Mus musculus: one gene and its partners. The protein of the gene in region 1 purifies or fractionates together with the protein of each later gene. This does not show direct contact. Links are inferred from orthologs where the notes say so. Each region holds a gene or a part of one and is shown in the gene's direction. Other genes may lie near its edges.

Evidence for each region.
Region 2: the proteins of Vim (region 1) and Nes purify together in Homo sapiens (affinity purification with mass spectrometry; 3 studies listed by BioGRID and IntAct, counting the BioPlex papers as one, with this or other methods). This does not show direct contact. The link is inferred for Mus musculus from reciprocal best matches to the Homo sapiens genes VIM and NES.
Region 3: the proteins of Vim (region 1) and Sync purify together in Homo sapiens (affinity purification with mass spectrometry; 3 studies listed by BioGRID and IntAct, counting the BioPlex papers as one, with this or other methods). This does not show direct contact. The link is inferred for Mus musculus from reciprocal best matches to the Homo sapiens genes VIM and SYNC.

Annotation. Positions count from the first base shown.
Region 1 is NC_000068.7:13,577,272-13,580,430, forward strand, and holds part of Vim (vimentin), read left to right. Parts: intron 1-1,141; coding exon 1,142-1,237; intron 1,238-1,317; coding exon 1,318-1,479; intron 1,480-2,149; coding exon 2,150-2,275; intron 2,276-2,746; coding exon 2,747-2,967; intron 2,968-3,159. UniProt on the Homo sapiens protein: Vimentins are class-III intermediate filaments found in various non-epithelial cells, especially mesenchymal cells. Vimentin is attached to the nucleus, endoplasmic reticulum, and mitochondria, either laterally or terminally.
Region 2 is NC_000069.6:87,977,389-87,980,969, forward strand, and holds the end of Nes (nestin), read left to right. Parts: coding exon 1-2,642; 3' UTR 2,643-3,063; downstream 3,064-3,581. UniProt on the Homo sapiens protein: Required for brain and eye development.
Region 3 is NC_000070.6:129,290,597-129,294,247, forward strand, and holds part of Sync (syncoilin), read left to right. Parts: intron 1-2,630; coding exon 2,631-3,651.

The DNA of each region.
Region 1 (3,159 bases):
CAATATAGTTCAGGATTATATTTCTTTTCCTTCTTGCCCGAGGAGCATATCTCTGCAAATGCAAGACCTGGATTTTGAACAATGAATTACTACTTGATACGAGGCTAGCCTGGGAACCTGGATGCCAGATAACTGAGTGCTTATTCTAAATTCCAAAGATAAGCATCTGAAGGTTTGAATACAGGAAACAAAAAAGAGCATGCATATATGTTAACCCTTCTGAGCTCAATTTTAAATGATTTTTAAAAAATATGTAATGTGTTTGTGTCTGTGTGAGTGTATAGGACATTTCTGCAGGCTTGCATGAGGCCAGAAGAGGGCACCTGATGCCCTGGAGTTGGAATCATAAACCTTCATGAACTGCTCCATGTGGGTGCTGGGAACCAAACTAAAATCCTCTGAAAGAACAGCATTCTTTACTACTAAGCCTCACTTTAGAAAACATTTTAATTTTATTTTTGAAGCTCTCATTTTTATATTACGTGTACTCAAGCAAACATGAAGTTGGACAATCTCATCAACTACTATCATCACAAAATTACAGACTTATTAAATGTGACAGAGGTTTAAAACTGAAAATGAATTTTTCCATATAGTTCACCATACCATGTCATTGTGCATATACATGTGTTTATTTTTAACTTGTCTACTAGTTAGCTTCAATACAACCAAATGGTTTCCTATTCATTTTTAAAGCTAAGAATGAATATTGGAATGTGACCCTAAATGATTTATAAATTTATCAAGGGTCATGAAATTTTCAGCACCTTTTCTACAATAAGGAGAATGGGTTTACATGGTTAATTTTTGAACAAATAAATAAATAAATAAATAAATAAATAAATAAATAAATAAGGGGCTGTAGAGACAGGTCAATGGTTAAAAGCACTGGCTACTCTTTTAGGGCACCTGGAATTCAATTTGCAGAACCCACAGGGCTGCCCACACTCTTCTCCAGTTCCAGGGCATCTTTTGCTCTCTTATTGCTTTTGTGGATACCACATGCTCGTGGCATACTTATATACATGCAGGCAAAACACCTTTATACACAACATAAAGTGAAAAAGGGATTAATATAAATAAGTTAGATAAAGGACAGACTTTATCACCCTCCACATCATCTTTTCTCTTTTCGAAATAGGATGTTGACAATGCTTCTCTGGCACGTCTTGACCTTGAACGGAAAGTGGAATCCTTGCAGGAAGAAATTGCCTTTTTGAAGAAACTGCACGATGAAGTAAGTGACACCAATTTCTGTGGGTGAACAAAGCTGCGACCGTGTAGTCTACGACCTCTCTGTGTCTGTTCTTTCTCCAGGAGATCCAGGAGCTGCAGGCCCAGATTCAGGAACAGCATGTCCAGATCGATGTGGACGTTTCCAAGCCTGACCTCACTGCTGCCCTGCGTGATGTGCGCCAGCAGTATGAAAGCGTGGCTGCCAAGAACCTCCAGGAGGCCGAGGAATGGTACAAGTCCAAGGTATGAAATGAGCCAGAGTGGCAAGAACCTCTAGCTCTCAGACACGTGCCTCTAATTCCATTAGTAACCTCCAGCTCTACTCAGAAGCTGGCTTAAAGCTTGGACCGCCATTGTTGTTTCACAGCACCCCTTCCCCCTCATCTCCATTCACAGTTTCCTTTAGTATGGCAGACTCCCTTTCCACTCATTGTCTTCCCTGACTTCAAAGAATACCTTACTCTCATGCTCTTGACTGCCACCACTTGGAAAGCATTGCAGTAGAGCAAATACTGTTTGAAAACGCAATGCTGGTGTTCTGCTTCTCTTTCCCTGGTTTTCCAAAAGACGTTCAGACAAATTCTAGGAAACACACAGGCAGGATGAAGATGCCTCTTTGTTCTAAGTGAGTGAAAACTCATGGAAGTGAACAATCTCTACTTCTTTTCTTTTCTTTTCTTTTCTTTTCTTTTCTTTTCTTTTCTTTTCTTTTCTTTTCTTTCTCCTCCTCCTCCTCCTTCTCCTCCTCCTCCTCCTCCTCCTCTTCTTCTTCTTCTACTTCTTCTTCTTCTTCTTCTTCTTCTTCTTCTTCTTCTTCTTCTTCTTCTTCTTCTTCTTCTTCTTCTTCTTCTTCTTCTTCTTCGACTAAGCTCACAACCAAAAACAACCTCTATTTCTGATTCCTTCTTGACAGTTTGCTGACCTCTCTGAGGCTGCCAACCGGAACAACGATGCCCTGCGCCAGGCCAAGCAGGAGTCAAACGAGTACCGGAGACAGGTGCAGTCACTCACCTGTGAAGTGGATGCCCTTAAAGGCACTGTGAGTACTACAGCAGCAAAGGGGGGGAAATACCGTGCTCAGTACTATTCTGCTGACTAGGTTAACAATGAGACCTGTACAAATAAATTAAACACACACGGACACACACACACACACTTATCCAAAGAGAATGAATTATCAAGATAGTTTTAAGGATTATTTAATGAGTACCTTGAAAGTCTTAGTTTACATATGTTATTGATTGTAATAAGAGGGGTTTTAGAGGTTACTCCTGTAACCTCATCACTCTGGAGAATGAGGCAGGGGGATTATAAATTCACAGTTAAGCTAGGCTGCATGTAAAAGTGTTATTTCATCAAAGCAAAACATGGAACTGGGTGCTTGTGTTCTCTGTTCAAAGCTAGTGGGCACCTACCATTAAAAGAATTACTGTACCTTATTTATGAATATTTTGGGGGACAGCCGGGTTTTCTGGGAAATCACATGAGAAGCCATTTTTGCTTTCTGCAGAACGAGTCCCTGGAGCGCCAGATGCGTGAGATGGAAGAGAATTTTGCCCTTGAAGCTGCTAACTACCAGGACACTATTGGCCGCCTGCAGGATGAGATCCAAAACATGAAGGAAGAGATGGCTCGTCACCTTCGTGAATACCAAGATCTGCTCAATGTTAAGATGGCCCTGGACATTGAGATCGCCACCTACAGGAAGCTGCTGGAAGGCGAGGAGAGCAGGTATAGAAGGCAAACGTGCATGTGTGAACTAACTCACAGTCGTCTTTCTAGGAAGATCTCATTTAACCCAGACACCATATATATGAGGAACTTAACGTTGCAGAGAGTAACTTGCTGTGGTCAGAGATAATTAATAGCAGAGTAGATTTGAACTCACAGCCATGCAAAAGACAATACGTTCTCCCTCTATAA
Region 2 (3,581 bases), on another chromosome or scaffold:
CACTGAGCTCTGTGGTGAAAGAGGAGCAGATGGCTGAGAGCAAGCTAGAGAACGAGAGTCAGGACTCCAGGAAGTCTCTTGAAGATGAGAGCCAGGAGACCTTTGGGTCTCTGGAAAAAGAGAATCTAGAGTCCCTGAGGTCTCTAGCAGGACAGGACCAAGAGGAACAGAAACTCGAACAAGAGACCCAGCAGCCACTGAGGGCTGTAGAAGATGAGCAGATGACAGTGAACCCTCCAGAAAAGGTGGATCCAGAGTTACCAAAGCCTCTTAGAAATGACCAGGAAGTAGTCAGATCTCTTGACAAGGAGAATCAAGAGTCACTAGTGTCACTGAATGAAGGAGGTATGGAGACAGTGAAGTCTTCAGAAACAGAGAACATAGAATCACTGGAGACTGTGGGAGAGTGCCTGGGAAGAAGGAAGTCTGTAGATACTCAAGAGCCATTGTGGTCTACGGAAGTGACTAGTGAGACAATAGAACCTCTAGAAGATGAGACCCAAGAACCACTGGGGTGTGTGGATGAGAACCAAGAGGTGCTGACACCCCTTGAAAGGGAGAGTCAAGAACTGAGATCTCTGGGCAAGTGGAACCCAGAGACTGTGGAATCACCAGGAGGGGTGGAGGACAGTCAGCAGTGCCTGGAAGTGGAAGAGGGCCCGGAGAGGGAGCAGCACCAAGAGTCTCTGAGGTCTCTGGGAGAGGTGGAATGGGAGCTGCCTGGATCTGGAAGTCAACAGAGGTGGGAGGATGTGGTGGAGGATGGAGAAGGTCAGGAAGCATCCCTGGGGGCTACAGGAGTGGAAACTGAGGATAAGGCAGAGTTGCATCTGAGGGGCCAAGGTGGGGAGGAGAAAGCTGTAGAGGAGGGAGAGCTGCTGCAGGATGCTGTGGGGGAGGCCTGGAGTCTGGGGAGCTCGGAGCCCAAGGAGCAGAGGGTCCCTGCTGAGCCCCTCGATGACCTGGAGGGACAACCAGAGCAGACGGGAACCCTAGAGGTCCCAGTTGCTCAGGGAATGCCAGAGGCAACAGAGCAAGATGAGGACAGAGCCCAAGCAGGTGAACAAGACTCCGTAGAGGTGACCCTTGGGTTAGAGGCTGCCAGAGCTGGACTGGAACTCGAGCAGGAAGTGGTAGGGCTAGAGGACCCAAGGCATTTCGCCAGGGAGGAGGCCATTCACCCATCCCTGGGGGAGGAAAGTGTGAAGGCAAAGATAGATCAGGGCTTGGAAGAGCCTGGAAAGGAACCAAAAGAGGCAGGTGCTCTGGACTCAGGCATCCCTGAATTACCCAAGACTAGCAGTGAGACTCTGGAATGCAAGGGCTGGGAAGAGTCTGGGGAGGGCTGGGGAGAAGAGGAGGCCTCGCTGGAGACCTCAGACCATGAGGGCAGCCATGCCCCTCAGCCCAGGCCCCCTAAGACAGAGGAAGATGAGGGTCTACAGGCAGCGCTAACAGTCCCTGGTCCCAAGCTCCTGGAACCCTGTTCACCCATCCCGATCTTGACAGATGCCCATGAGCTGCAGCCCCAAGCTGAGGGGATCCAGGAGGCTGGGTGGCAGCCGGAAGCTGGGACTGAAGCACTGGGAAGAGTAGAAGATGAGCCAGAGTTTGGTCGTGGGGAGATTCCTGAGGGCCTCCAGGATTGGGAGGAGGGCAGAGAAGACAGTGAGGCAGATGAGTTAGGGGAAACTCTCCCTGACTCTACTCCCTTGGGCCTCTACCTGAAGTCTCCTGCCTCCCCAAAGTGGGAGCAAGCTGGAGAACAGAGGCTTTTCCCTCAAGGGGAGGCCAGGAAGGAAGGCTGGAGTCCTGCTGCCCTGGCTGCCCAGGGTCTCAGTGACCCACCAGAGGAAGAGCAGCAAGGCCATGACTCTGACCTCTCATCTGAGGAATTTGAGGACCTAGGGACTGAGGCCTCTCTTCTTCCAGGGGTTCCCAAAGAGGTGTCCGATCATCTGGGCCAAGAGCCCCCCGTACTGCAGCCTGCATGCTGGGATCAGGGTGGGGAGTCTGATGGGTTTGCTGATGAGGAAGAGAGTGGGGAAGAGGGAGAGGAAGAAGATGCTGATGAAGAAGAAGGAGCAGAGTCAGGGACTCAGTGGTGGGGGCCAGGGCCCTCTGGTGGAGGTGTCAAGGTCCAGGATGTCACCCAGAGAGGGGACCTGGAACATGAATCTGTGGGTGACAGTGGCCTCTGGGATGATGGCTTGAGTGGGGCTGCAGCTAATGTTCTTGTAACTGCCCTAGAGACGGTGTCTCAGGACAGTGCTGAGCCTTCCGGGTCAGAGGGGTCTGAGTCTGCTTCCTTGGAGGGGGAGGAAGGTCAAGCGATTGACCATTTAGATGCCCCCCAAGAGGTGACTAGCGTGGTCCCAGGGGCAGGAGACACCTTTGATATCAGTGGCCAGGGCCCCAACCTGGAGTCAGAGCAAGTGAATGGGAGGATGGAGAATGGACTAGAGCAGGCTGAGGGTCAGGTGGTTCTGCATGGGGACGAGGATCAAGGCATCCCTTTACAGGAACAGGGTACCCTCAAGGCCCCTTTAGTAGGGTCTCCTGTGCATCTAGGCCCAAGCCAGCCGCTGAAGTTCACTCTGAGTGGGGTAGATGGAGACTCCTGGTCCTCAGGGGAAGATTAGAAACTGCCCCTCTGGCACTGAGGACTTAGTGGGGGGTGGGGGGAATGTCCCTCCCTGCTCTGGGCCAGCACTCTTAGCTTTGATAACTTGACCTGTGGTATCTCTCGTGGAGAGGTGTGGCTGGCTGAGACAGGTGAGATCCTGCCTGGATCACCCTGAAGGCTCAGGTCAGCTGAGCCTATAGTTCAACGCCCCCTTTCTTCTGTGGCTCACCTGCTGGAAGAGGCTTGGGCCCAGAGCTTTCCCACGAGACTGCTCTGGCCAGAGCTTGCTAGCCCTGCCTGTCTACAGTAGCACCACCTGCACAGGGTCTGGTGCATGCCCAGAGGAGCAGCAATGATGAGTGACTCTCATCATCTCAGCCTGCTGAGATCTTGTTTCTCTCTTCCTCCCTTGAATAAAGCTGTATCCCTACCTACAATGTCTGGCTGCTTTCTTCTAGCCTTCAGGGACTCTTCTGACTGAGAAGCAATGGAGTGGAGAGGCTGGGAGAGGACGCATGAGCTAGGCCTGGGGGAGAGGAGGGGAAGGGGCCGCCTCTCAGGGAGGCCAGGTTGTCATCTCTCCCATAGCTCTGATTACAGGGCCCTCTCACTGAATGTCCTCCTACCTAGCCCCTCTGTGACTCCAGCATAATTAGCCCCCTGGCTCCCAAACCCAAACAGTTGTCTAGCCTGTGATGAGTGACTGGGCTGGAGTGGGGGCAGGGAGGAAAGAGGCCACGGCCAGCTTTAGCCTGGTCAACAGCCTCAGGTCAACAGTTTCTCTGAACCGCAAACCCAGCCCCACACAGAGGCAGCTTTGGGTGGCTGCCTGGGGCAGGGAGAACAGGAGGGGATTGGAGGAAGCCTCTGCTTTGGGCAACTGAGGCCTCCCATGGCACTGAAGCAGGAGAGAGGGAAGAAGTGTGGATAGCAGGGCCAGGAGAAGGTAAGAGAG
Region 3 (3,651 bases), on another chromosome or scaffold:
GAGTGAGTTCCAGGACAGTCAAGGCTATACAGAGAAACTGTCTCGAAAAAAAAAAAAAAAAAAAAAAAAAAAGAAAGAAAGAAAGAAAGAAAGAAAGGAAGAAAGAAAAGAAAAAAGACAACAATACAAACAAACAAATAAACAAACCAAAAAGGCTGATATAAACAGAGTAAACAGACCACAGCTTGGACTAGGGTCCTAATGGTGGAATGGAGAAGACTTCCTGTGGTACAGGTCAGTTTGCGGCAGGCTTCTAGCTAACTGACCTGTCTCAAGGTGAGGAGAGCTATAGTGTAGGGCAGCTGAGCTACGGTCAAGTATGATGACCTGAGTTCCAACCCCAGAACCTGCACTGGAAGGAGAGAAGTGCCTCTTACAAGCCGCTCTCTGACCTCTACTGTGGCACGAACGCCTCCATCACAACACACACACATGTACACATTAAATAAAATGCAAAAAGAATATACATTTGAAGCTGATCTCAACAATCATGTCATTTATTCATTTGTTGTTTTGTTTGTTTGTTTTAATAAAAGGACTCAATGTTGCCCTGGCTGGCCTGGGAACTTGCTATGTAGATCAGACTGGCTTAGAACCTACAGGGACCCCCCTTGCTTCTGCATGGGATTAAAGGCATGCATCAGAGAGGATGTAGATTTTGATTATCTTCATCTGAATGTGAATGATGGAGAAAAGCTATTCAGCAAGATTCGCAACATTAGTGTTTGGAGTCCATACGCATAGATTGTATGTGTGCACACACATATGATTCTGTACACATACAGACTGATTCTGAACTCTCTCTGCTGGTGAGAATGACCCGGAACCTCTGATTCTCCTGCCTCTACCTCCTGAGTGTTGAGGTTACAGGAATAGGCGCGTACTATCTACCACAGCAGGTTTTATGTGGTGCTAGGGATCAAGGCCAAGACCTCCGACATGTTCCATGAGCACTCTACCCACTGAGCTGCGGCCTCAGCTATTACCTGTGTGTGTTTGTGTGTTTGCACAATGTGTGCGCGTGTGTAGAGGCCAGAGGTCAATTTTGTATGTCCTCAACGGTTTTTCATAGGATCCCTCGCTGGGTCTGGAGTTCACCAGTTAAGCTACAGGTTCTCCTGCCACTGCCATTCAGTGCCAGGCTTACAGGTGTTACCCCAGGGCTGTGGGGGCCCACACTCAGGCTCTCGTGTTTGTGTGTGGAAAGCAGGTACTTTACTGAACCGTCTTCTCCTCCCTTTGCGGTTTTTGGTTGGTTGGTTTTGTTTGCTTTTAGATTTTATTTATTTAAAGGTTTATTTATTATTATATCTAAGTACACTGTAGCTGTCTTCAGATGCACCAGAAAAGGGTGTCATATCTCATTACGGGTGGTTGTGAGCCACCATGTGGTTGCTGGGATTTGAACTCAGAACCTCTGGAAGAGCAGTCGGTGCTCTTAACCACTGAGCCATCTCTCCAGCCCTGTTTGTTTGTTCTTTTCAGACAGAGTTTCCCTCTATAGCCCTGGCTGTCCTGGAACTCACTCTGTAGACCAGGCTGGCCTCAAACTAGATTTAATTTTTTAAATTTGTTTTTTGCATGTATGCAGGGAGGGATGCCTGGAGTTAGAAGACAGAGTTGCAGGTGGTTGTGCTGGGACCCGAACTCTGGTCCTTTGCAGGGGCAGCCAGTGCTTTTTTACCACTAAGTCACCTCTCCAGTCTCAACCCTGCCACTTTAATGCCTACTCATTTATTGTGTGTGTGTGTTTCTGGGACAACCTGTAGAAATCAGTTCTCTCCATTTGGAAGCCAGGGATTGAACTCAGTTTATCAGATTTGGTGGCAAGTGCCCTTATCTGCTGAGCCACTCACTGAATCCCCCCTATTTTGTCAGGGAGTGGCAGATTCTCACAAAACCAGGTTGGCCTTCAGCTCACTAAGTAGCTGAGGCTGGCCTTGCATTTCTGACCCCCCTCCCTCAGCCTGTTGGGATTACAGGCAGGCACCAGCACGGTTGTCTTTCCTTGTTTTACGGGCACAGTCTCTCTATGTGGTCCCAATTGCCCCTGAACATGTGTAGAACTGTGGAACACCCAGCTGTGTCTGAGAATAGCGTCCTCTCCATGAAGTGATGTAAGCAGAGACTAGCCAGTGATGCTGTGGTGTCAGGGAATTCGAATGGTGGGCAGTGTGTGGAAGAGGCAGACTGGGGAGGGGAGTAGTGCCTTAGGGTTTCATTGCTGTGAACCATGGCAACTCTCATAAAGGAATACGTTTAACCAGGGCTGGCTTACAGTTTCAGAGGTTCAGTCCATTTATCATCATGGCGGGAAGCACGGCAGCATCCAGGCAGGCAGGGTGCTGGAAGAGCTGAGAGTTCTCCTTTTTGATTCGAGGTGGGGCAGATGGCGGGTCTCTTCCTCTTCTACATAGCTCAAAACCCACCCCTACACACACTTCCTTTAACATGGCCACACCTCCTCCAATAAGGCCACACCCTCTAATTAATAATGCCCCAAGGGCCAAGCATATTCAATTCCCCATAAGTAGCTAAGAGAACCTGCTGCAGCTAACCGTGAGACAGAGGCCCTGTTGACACTCAGTGGAGCACAGGCTGCTCTTTCACGGCCATCATCTCTCTTGCAGGGAACCACACACCGAGGCGAGTTTTCCTCTTCAGGAGTCAGAATCCCCGAAGGAGGCCAAGACCTTTAACCCAGAGGCCACTCTGTCTTTGGAGGGGACTGTGAACCTAGAGGACATTCTCTATCTGGGGGCATCGGGGGACTTTGAAGAGAGTTTTTATGAGGAAGAATATGAGAAGCCAGCACTGACACTGTTTATCGACGAATCGAGGCAGCCAGACGAGGCGCTGGGCCTAGAAGAGCCCGTGCGCCCAGAGGAGATGCTGTCTGTGGAGGAATCCGTGACGCCAGATGAGGTGCAAATTTCAGAGCAGCCTGTGGAGCCAGCTAAGAGCCCAACTGCTTGTGAGGGAGAAATGGTGGCCACGGAGGGAAGCCTGCCTGCTCAACCGATTCCCAACACCGAGGAGGATCCCCTCAGCGTGGAGGACCTGGAGCGGCTGGAAGCTCGTTTCCAGCAGTGTGTACAAGCCGTGTCCCAGCTGGAAGAGGAGAGGGACCAGCTAATCCACGAGCTCGTGCTACTCCGGGAGCCAGCCCTGCAGGAGGTGCAGCAAGTCCACCAGGACATCCTGGCTGCCTACAAGCTCCACGCACAGGCAGAGCTGGAGAGGGACGGGCTCAGGGAGGAGATCCGGACGGTGAAGCAGAAGCTGTTCAAGGTGACCAAGGAATGCGTGGCTTACCAATACCAGCTGGAGTGCCGTCAGCAGGATGTGGCTCAGTTTGCCGACTGCAGGGAAGCGCTGACCACTCGGGCAGCCCAGCTCTCGGAAGAACTGACCCAGCTCCGAGATGCCTGTCAGAAGCAGAAGGAGCAGTTACAGCAACAACTAGAAGCACCCCCGACCCAGAGCGATGGGCACTTTCTCCAGGAGAGCCGACGGCTGTCGACACAGTTTGAAAATCTCATGGCCGAGAGCCGCCAGGGCCTGGAGGAGGAGTATGAGCCTCAGCTGCTCCGGCTCCTGGAAAGGAAAGAGGCCGGGACCAAAGCTCTACAGGACACCCAGGCGGAGATC